Linked DNA regions of Coturnix japonica. The protein of the gene in region 1 interacts with the protein of each later gene in a pairwise test. Links are inferred from orthologs where the notes say so. Each region holds a gene or a part of one and is shown on either strand. Other genes may lie near its edges. The genes, in order: BCL11A and NR2E1.

Evidence for each region.
Region 2: the proteins of BCL11A (region 1) and NR2E1 interact in a two-hybrid assay, tested with the Homo sapiens proteins (2 studies listed by BioGRID). The link is inferred for Coturnix japonica from reciprocal best matches to the Homo sapiens genes BCL11A and NR2E1.

The regions. Positions count from the first base shown.
Region 1 is NC_029518.1:5,618,506-5,622,310, reverse strand, and holds part of BCL11A (B-cell lymphoma/leukemia 11A), read right to left. Parts: intron 2,592-3,805; exon of another isoform or gene 2,366-2,591; coding exon of another isoform or gene 2,338-2,365; intron 2,230-2,337; coding exon 1,900-2,229; intron 1-1,899. UniProt on the Homo sapiens protein: Transcription factor. Associated with the BAF SWI/SNF chromatin remodeling complex. Binds to the 5'-TGACCA-3' sequence motif in regulatory regions of target genes, including a distal promoter of the HBG1 hemoglobin subunit gamma-1 gene.
Region 2 is NC_029518.1:61,370,267-61,374,558, forward strand, and holds the start of NR2E1 (nuclear receptor subfamily 2 group E member 1), read right to left. Parts: upstream 3,100-4,292; 5' UTR 2,515-3,099; coding exon 2,490-2,514; intron 1-2,489. UniProt on the Homo sapiens protein: Orphan receptor that binds DNA as a monomer to hormone response elements (HRE) containing an extended core motif half-site sequence 5'-AAGGTCA-3' in which the 5' flanking nucleotides participate in determining receptor specificity.

The DNA.
Region 1 (3,805 bases):
GCGGCGCTCACCCGCCTGCAGCCAGGTACGCACATGTGTACACCGTCCCTGTCGCATAGAGTACGCGAGGTGCTCAGGGTGCTAAGGCTGCATGGATGCACAGGGTCCATGGGGTGCTCAGGGTGTACAGGCTGCTTGGAGTGCTGTTACCACTCCATCCTTGGAAGCAGGAGGCCTGCAATGCATCCATGCCAGTTGGAGCAGCCATCACTGGAGCAGCCATCATTCCGCGTTCAGTGGCCCAGAGCTCGCTCCTGCAGATGGTCTGCTCCTTAACCATTACTCACTCAAGGTGACTTGCTGAACACAACAAACCCACAGACAAAGCACGCCCTGTACCCACAGCCCACCTCCAGCACCTCTGTCAGAGGAACAACTGACTGGGAGCGCTTTTACATCGCTGCTAAATGCACATCTTCTGGTCTCTCACCAGAGAACATCAGCTTGCTCAATTCCTGAGTATGCATCCAAAAGCAGCCTCCTACCTTTTTTTTAACCTTTTTTTTTTTTTAAAAAAAAAAACACCTGTAAACTCAGTTATCTCCTGATAGACGGGAAAAAAAGCAGATACAAAGCTAGAAAGCACCCAAGGCTCACTGCAGAGACACCACAGCCCTAAGTCCATGGCTATCCCAGCCCTGAGCCTGCATCTCACTGCTGACCCCAGGCACTGCTGCTGGGCATCATGAGCACGCGTGTCCCACACCAGATGGGCACTGGCTACATCCCCAGGCCCTGTGCTGAGGAGTTCCCCAGCATGCCCACGGCCCAGCTCACAGCCTGAACAGCCTATTTGGAACCACGCGGAGGACTGCTCCTAATTCCTGCCTGACAGATACTGCATTCTGTCTTTGAAGCAGAGCTGCTCAATATGTAAATACAGAGTTACATCACATCGCCGTTCCTCCATATTTGGTGATTTAGTATGGCTCCAGCTCTAGGAAGACCACAAATCCCTTCCACCGGGCTCCCACACAATTAATCACAGCCTCCTGTCGTGTTCATTTGCTGTGTGTCACAGTCAGCACGTGGAAATGGGCACTACACTGCACCACTCCGGAAAAAGCCCCCCAACATCCATCCCTGGCAAACTGAGGATACAGAATTATTTAACCTTATTTACAAAATACTGGCACAGCAAATGGCTCTCCGGTTAAAATATACATATATGTGCTAAGAAAAGGAATTATTTACCCTATTGTAAAAACACGCTTCATGCCAATTGTTGCACAAAGCAGAACCTGGCCTCGGACATTTGTCCGAATGACATGTGGTTGTGTAAATCACAAACAAAATCAAGATACATCTGTCAAAACCACCATCAGAGACAAGAGTGAGCGCGGAGAGGCATTTATCATTTGGCTGAGGAGGCAGGCTGCAGAGAGCGGCCTTTCCTGTCAAACCAACCTTTTGAAATTTCCAACATGCCCTTAAACTTTTCGAATAAGCATGTCTGTGCGCTTCAGCAACTGCCCTCTCTACTCTGGCCTGGCCAGTCGAAAATGGCATCTTAAAGTCAAGGTCGGTGGTGTCACTTTGCCATGGGGCTGTGTTTAATTACAGTCCATACGCTGACAGCCAATATGGGAACCTAGGCTGGCTGATGCTCACTTAACTCCTTCACTGCCAGCTCTACCCACGGCTCAACAGCTCCTTCCCTGCACATGCAGAGGGCCAGACCTCCTCCTGCAGCGCGACGGCGACTACGGCACAGCTCGATGTGAGTGCAGCTGCACACAGTGCCGCCAGACACACTGGGCTGCGCTACACACGCCTGCCGCTCTGCCTCTGCGCAGCCACCAGGAGCACAGCCAGGCACAAGACTCCACTGCGTGAGACCGCGGACACGCAACTGGAACAGAAATAAGCTCACAAACACTTCTCCTCATTTTAATTTACCTGCTATGTGTTCCTGTTTCGGGCAAATTCCTCTCGATGACGTTGACAAACAATCATCATCCTCTGGTGTAACCTGGATGCCAACCTCCACGGGATTGGATGCTTTTTTCAGCTCACTTGGTGAGGGTGAGGGTGGCTTATCCACAGCCTTCTCTAAGCAGAGACTGCCATTGCATTGTTTCCGTTTGTGCTCTATAAAAACCAAGATGTCTCCCAGCGGGAAGTTCATCTGACACTGGCCACAGGTGAGGAGGTCGTGGTCCCCTTCTGGAGCTCCCAACGTGCTATGGTCAGGTTCATCGTCGGTGAGAATGGCTTCAAGAGGTTCAGCTGTGTTTGGAGAAACAAAAGAGACACATTAGAACTCTGGTAATGAGCACCGGGCACAGGGGCAAACGGGAAGCTCCCAGCCATGAGCATTGCTGTGTGCCCCCTCACCCCCAGCAAAGAAGTGCCCCGTAACCATCACCACTGCAATAGGAATCAAATTCACTGGCCACCAAGAACACACTGTGCAGGAGCAGCCGCAGCCTGTAGAACCCTGCCACTGTATCTGCTCCTGTGGATGAGGACAGATTTCTGACTCGATTTAACGATTTACTGGTAAAATCAAATGAACAGCCTATGAGAATGTGCTGCAAAGCTGCGGTGGTGCTAGGAAAACAAGTGAATACTGTGCTTTATCACCAGATGTATTATTTATGTACATGAATTCAAGGCTGAAAGCATTGCACGCGCGCACACACACACACAGGGGGGTATTTCCCAGAGCCAGACCCACTTTGTAAAATTTTTGCTCATGAATGACACGTGTGCATGCAGAGGAAAGGTTCCAGCACACACCCTGTGTGTGCAACATGCAGGCAGCACAAGCACTACAAGCAGGAGCAGAGGGAAGGCAGAGAGATGGGGCTCTCCCCATGCAGGTGCGTGTGTGCCCGTGTGCCACTGCCCACTTTGGTGGCTCATAATTTGCACACTGAAAAAAGCAGCAGCCGCTCATGGAAAGAAAAAGAGGGAGAAAATAAAGAAACAGCAGAGAAGGAACTGATAAAAATCAAGTGCAGTCAAAATTCCTGCGGGGTGGGAGGAGGATCCTCTCGCTATCCAGCTGCTCCTCGAGGTTCAAATAAATTCCAAATTCACCAACAATTCCACCCAGAGATATCAACCACATAGGACATGGTACAGCACTCAAAGACGTGAGGCAATTAGTAATTTTTCCTTTTTCATCCTGAAATAAAGGCATGCCTAAATTCTCTGCACTGTGTTAGTACCGGTGGCCTTTCACCGTACACCAACCAGTGTGGCCAAGCAAATGCCACCGTTCTTAACAGCAGAGAGGTGCTTTCTGTGAGATCGAAATACCTCAGCTAATGTTGTCAAAGTTGACAAATTTTCTGAATGAGCTCCAAAAAGCTTCATTATGAGGCTATTTCTGTCCACATAATCATCAGAGGATGCTCTAACAAGGTAGACTCGTCTTTCTTTTTCTCTTTGCCTGTTTTTTTTTTTTCCCTGAGTTTGCACGACAATAGCTCAGCACTGCGTGTACAGCGTGTACAGCGTACAGCCCCCAGCGCCGTGTACAGCCCCCACCACTGTAGGCTTGCCGAAACAAAACAGAGCAGCACAGTGCTATTCCCCAGCCTGTGCAGCACTGCACGTGCTAATGGGAACGGCAGAAAGGAGAGCGTGCTGCAGGCGCAGAGCACCGCCAGTCGCTACCAGGTAACATGGGCGAGACGGAACGCAACTCCTAAACAGTTAATGGGTCTGACCTTCTTTAGCTAGCTGCCAATTTCACGTTTAATGAACTTAAAGCCACAGAGAATCAAAAAATAGATTTTAATTTGGCTGCATGATATTGGAACTGATTTTGATAAAGTGCAAAAATCGTGTGAAC
Region 2 (4,292 bases), about 56 Mb from region 1:
TCCGCCGAGGCCCTAAGACAATGCCTCCGGGCAGACAATGGGGACATTAGATAAAGTGTTAACTTAATGATTCTGCCCGCTGAGCCCCGTCTGACTGCCCCCGAGGAGCGCAAGCTGCCAGCTTCTCCCCAAATGAGAGCCGACAGCTGCTGCACACAGCGCGGCGGAGGGACGGGGATTAGGGCCGGCACCGCGCGGGGAGGGGCGGGCGGGAGGGAGAGGTGAAAGCATTCAAAACTTTTCCGCAATTAATAACAAGTACGGCCGCCCCCCCCTCTAACCCCCCCTGTCTGCCGCCCGCCGCAGGCCGCGGCCCGGAGCTGCAGGTAGCGCCCGTGGGGAGGGCCGGGGCCGAGGCTCGGCCTCTGGGAGCGCGTAATTACAAGTTCCCCTCGCCACCTGCCCATTGGGACACCAGTGACCCGTCAAAAAGTGTAGCATGGGAATTCGGATGGCGCACAATGCCGACGGGGGAGAGCGCTCCACTTCCCCCTGCGGCCCTCCGCATCCGCGGGGCGACGATCCGCGTACACACACACACACACACACACAAAGGAGGAGGAGTGCCCCGGTTTTTTGGGGGGGAGGTGAAGACTCGGAGCACCCCGCGCACACCCCAACCCGTGGGGGCCGGGAGCCCCGGACAGAGCTCAGCGGAGAGCCGAGGGGACACGGAGAGTGGCAGAGGGGAACTTGGGCCGCTTACACAGCGTGCTTCTCCCCAGGCGGGTTTTAAGGCTGGCGGCTGCTTAAAAAATAATGATAACAATAATAATAATAATAATAATATAAATAAATAATAATAATAGTCAGACGCATTTCCCAGATCTATAAAAAATACACACGCACACACACACGCTTATATACACCATAGAGGGCTGATGTACCACGCACACATCTGCTCCTCCCGAGATCTCATCTCCGCCGCTCCCCGCTCCGCTCCGCGCCCGCCGCAATCACGGCCGCGATCTCCCGTGCCCCGCCGCAATCACGGCGGTGGGAAAACTCGGAACGAGAGACGGGAAAACGGCAAACGGTAACGCGGGGTCGGGAGATGGACGGGAAACTCTTGTTTCGAAGCTCCTCGGCTCCCGAAGAACGGCTCCGTCCCAGAAGTTTAGCGCTAAGGAAACGGGGTTTCTCATTCTCGGTTCAGCCGGGAAACCGTTGTGACCATCCCGCGACGGGGGGTCCTCGGGAGCTTTTTTGTGCTTGTCATAATTGCTTAAAGGATAGATGGCAGCCCCGATTACTGTAATTACCATCAGGGGCTGTTGAAAGAAGTTAGCCCGGCCCGGAGGGACTGGGGCTCGCTGCCACCCAGGCGGACCCGCAGCACAGCCCGGCCGAGTCCCCCCCCCTCCGCTCTGCCGGGAGCCCCCAGCGCTCAGCGGGCGGTCGCCGGGCCAGGGAACGCGGCTCGGACTCCCGTCCCCGCTCGTCCCCATCCCCTGATGGGGGGGAGGGGGGAGGCCGAGGGTTCGGAGCCCTCGGGAAGGCCCGGCAGGGAGCAGAGGGGCTCAGCGGCCCCGCGGGCTCCTTCTCCGCAATACGTCCCCTTCGGTGCAGAGGTTTCCGGCCCTCCCGCTTTCCCCACCGGGCAGCTCCAGCCCGCTTTCCGCACCGAGGGCCGCCGTCGGCCGCAGCCTCTCGGCCCCGGCTGAGGGCAACGGAGGGGCAGCGGCGAGGGAAGGCCGCGGTCCCGTCCCCCCGCGGCCCCCTCCCGCCCCCGGCTTCTTTCGATGCCGGAGCGCGGAGGAAATAAACGTCCGAGCCATCACTTGTCAGACATTAAATTGGATTGGGTATTTTTTCCCCCTTTGTCACCGACTCCATCCATATTGCCAACTCCGAAGGTCCCGTTGGGATTACTCTGACGGAGCCGCTGTGCGGCGGCGCTCGGGCGGCTTTAAATTCCCCACTTATGAGGAGCACGGATTTAGGATTAAGGAAAATGTGACTTTTCCGTTGTTTCTGCTTTCCCCGTTGCGGGATTATTCGGTGTAACGGGAAATGCCGTGCGCGGTGCCGCTGTTAAATCCTCCTTCGGCGGAGCCGCTTACAAGATTCGAGCGGTAGGAGTTGGGAACTCTTTTTTGACCAGAAATAATAACAATAACAATAATAATAAAAGAAAAGGGTCGTGCCGGAGGAGGCTGCTCAAAGTCCGGCGGAGGGGGCAGCGTGCCCCGAACCCCGCAGCCCCATCACCCCATCCCCGAGGGGTCGGGGAGGGAGCGGCGGGACAGCGCTCAGCACGGAGCCCCCCGTTCGTTGCCGCTCCGGAGGGCAACCTGTGCAATACGAACTCTTTCTTTCTTTCCTTCTTTCTTTCTTTTGGTTTTCTTTTTAATTATCGGGATTGCGAACCCAAACTTCACTCCCCCCCCCCCCCCCCCCCCCCCCCCCCCCAGCCCTTCATTTTCTCTTTCCCCACCCCATCCCCCAGGCTCGGGGGGGCCCAGCAGCCCGGCCGCGCCGTTACCCACTTGTTGATCCCGCCGGCTTGCTCATGCTCGGAGCCCCGGGAGCCGCTCCGTCGGGGCGCAGCGCGGTGCCCCCCCCGGCTGCGGCGGGCGGGTGGGTGCCTCCCTCGGCCTCTCAGCGCTGCTTCGCCCGCTGGGGCCGACACATCCTCGCCGGGAGGTGCTTCCGAGGCGCAGGAACAGACGGAGAAAAGGAAAAAAAAACAACAGAAAAAGAGCAAACCAAAAAACGAGACAAAACACGGGAGCCGAAGGGCCAAAAATAATAATAAAGAAACGAAATGAGCCGAAGAAGGAGCTCTCCCCGCGAGCTGGAGCGCTCGGGACCCCGGGAGGGTGCGGGGGTGGCGGAGCGCTGCCGGCGGGACTCGGGGCCGCGGCACAATGAGCGGAGGGGAAGGTGGGATGGAGCGGGCTTCGCGCGGAGCAGGAGATCAGAGCCGGCAAAAGAATGGCAGGGGGAAAAGGCGTCAGAGGAGGCAGTCTCAGCCTCTCAGAAAGTGAAGGCTGGAAAAAGGGAAAGGTTTCCAGAAGTTCATTACACCGCTGACTCGGCGCTCGGAGCCGCAGCCCTCGGCCCTATAATATCGGCGGCGCGGTGACAGCGTTGCGGGGAGGGGAGATGCCGCCCCCCGCCCACGGCGCTCCCGCGCGTCCCCCCCAAATCTCGGCGGCGAGTGACGTCACCGGGCGGGGAGGGGGCAGGGAGGGAATGGAGGGGGGGGGGTCGGTACCGACGGTGGTCGTGAAGATCCGAGCGGCTCCCGCAACCCCCGTCCCTAACGGCGACCCCGACCCAAATAAATAGATGAATAAATAGATGGGAAAGAAGGGGGGAAATAAAATAGGAGACAATAGGAGGAGCGAGGAGGGATCGCCGTCCCGTTTCTCCCGCATTTTCTCCACGGTTTCCCCCGGGAAGGAGAGGGGGAGCAAAAAGCGAGATGCTGGAGATAAGGGTGCGCTCCCACAGTCGCACCCGGGGCTCGGAGGGGACCTTGGACCAAGACAAGGTTGTAGAGCAGTGGTTGCACGTCGTCGGACGTTGCTCAGGGGGATCGCAAGAAGCAAAAGCACGGGCAGAACAGGGATGCGGGCAGGACGTCACTCCCTTGATGGTTTGCCTTCCTGAGCAAAGTCTGAAGCACCAGAAAAGCAGAGGAGCGCGTCAGCACGGTTTGCAATCCGAAGTGGGACTGCGTAGCAGCAGAACCCAAACCTGGCCCTGTGTGTGTGTCTCGCACTCACAGGGCACATCTCTGGCCCTACGGCAGCCCCTCATCCTGGTTTCAGCTGGAAAAGAACTAACTTTCTTCCTAGTAGCTGCTGTGGTGCTATGGTTTGGATTTGATGAGAATCACACTGATGACACACTGATGTTTTGGCTGTTGCTGAGCGGTGCAGCACAGTCAAGGGCGTTTCAGCTCCCCGTGCTGCCACGTAGGGGGGGGACCAGGGGTGCACAAGCACCAGGAGGGGACAGAAGGAGGGCAGGGACCTCGAATGGCCAAGGGGATGGTCCGTACTGTGTGGAGCCGTGCTGGATCCTAACAGGGGGGGGAGGTGAATGGGAGGGGACTGTTGCATGGGGACTCACTGGACACCAGTCAGTGGGTGGTGAGCAGCTGCATCACTGGCTTTTATATTCTTTTATTATTATTATTAATTATTATTATTATTCCTTTCCTTTTCTCCCTTATTAAGCTACATCTCAGAAGATGTCTCGATACAGAAGATGCTGTCTCCTCATAACTCCTTAGAAGTACAAAACACCAGCAGCCAGTGCACACACCTACACCATAAAGT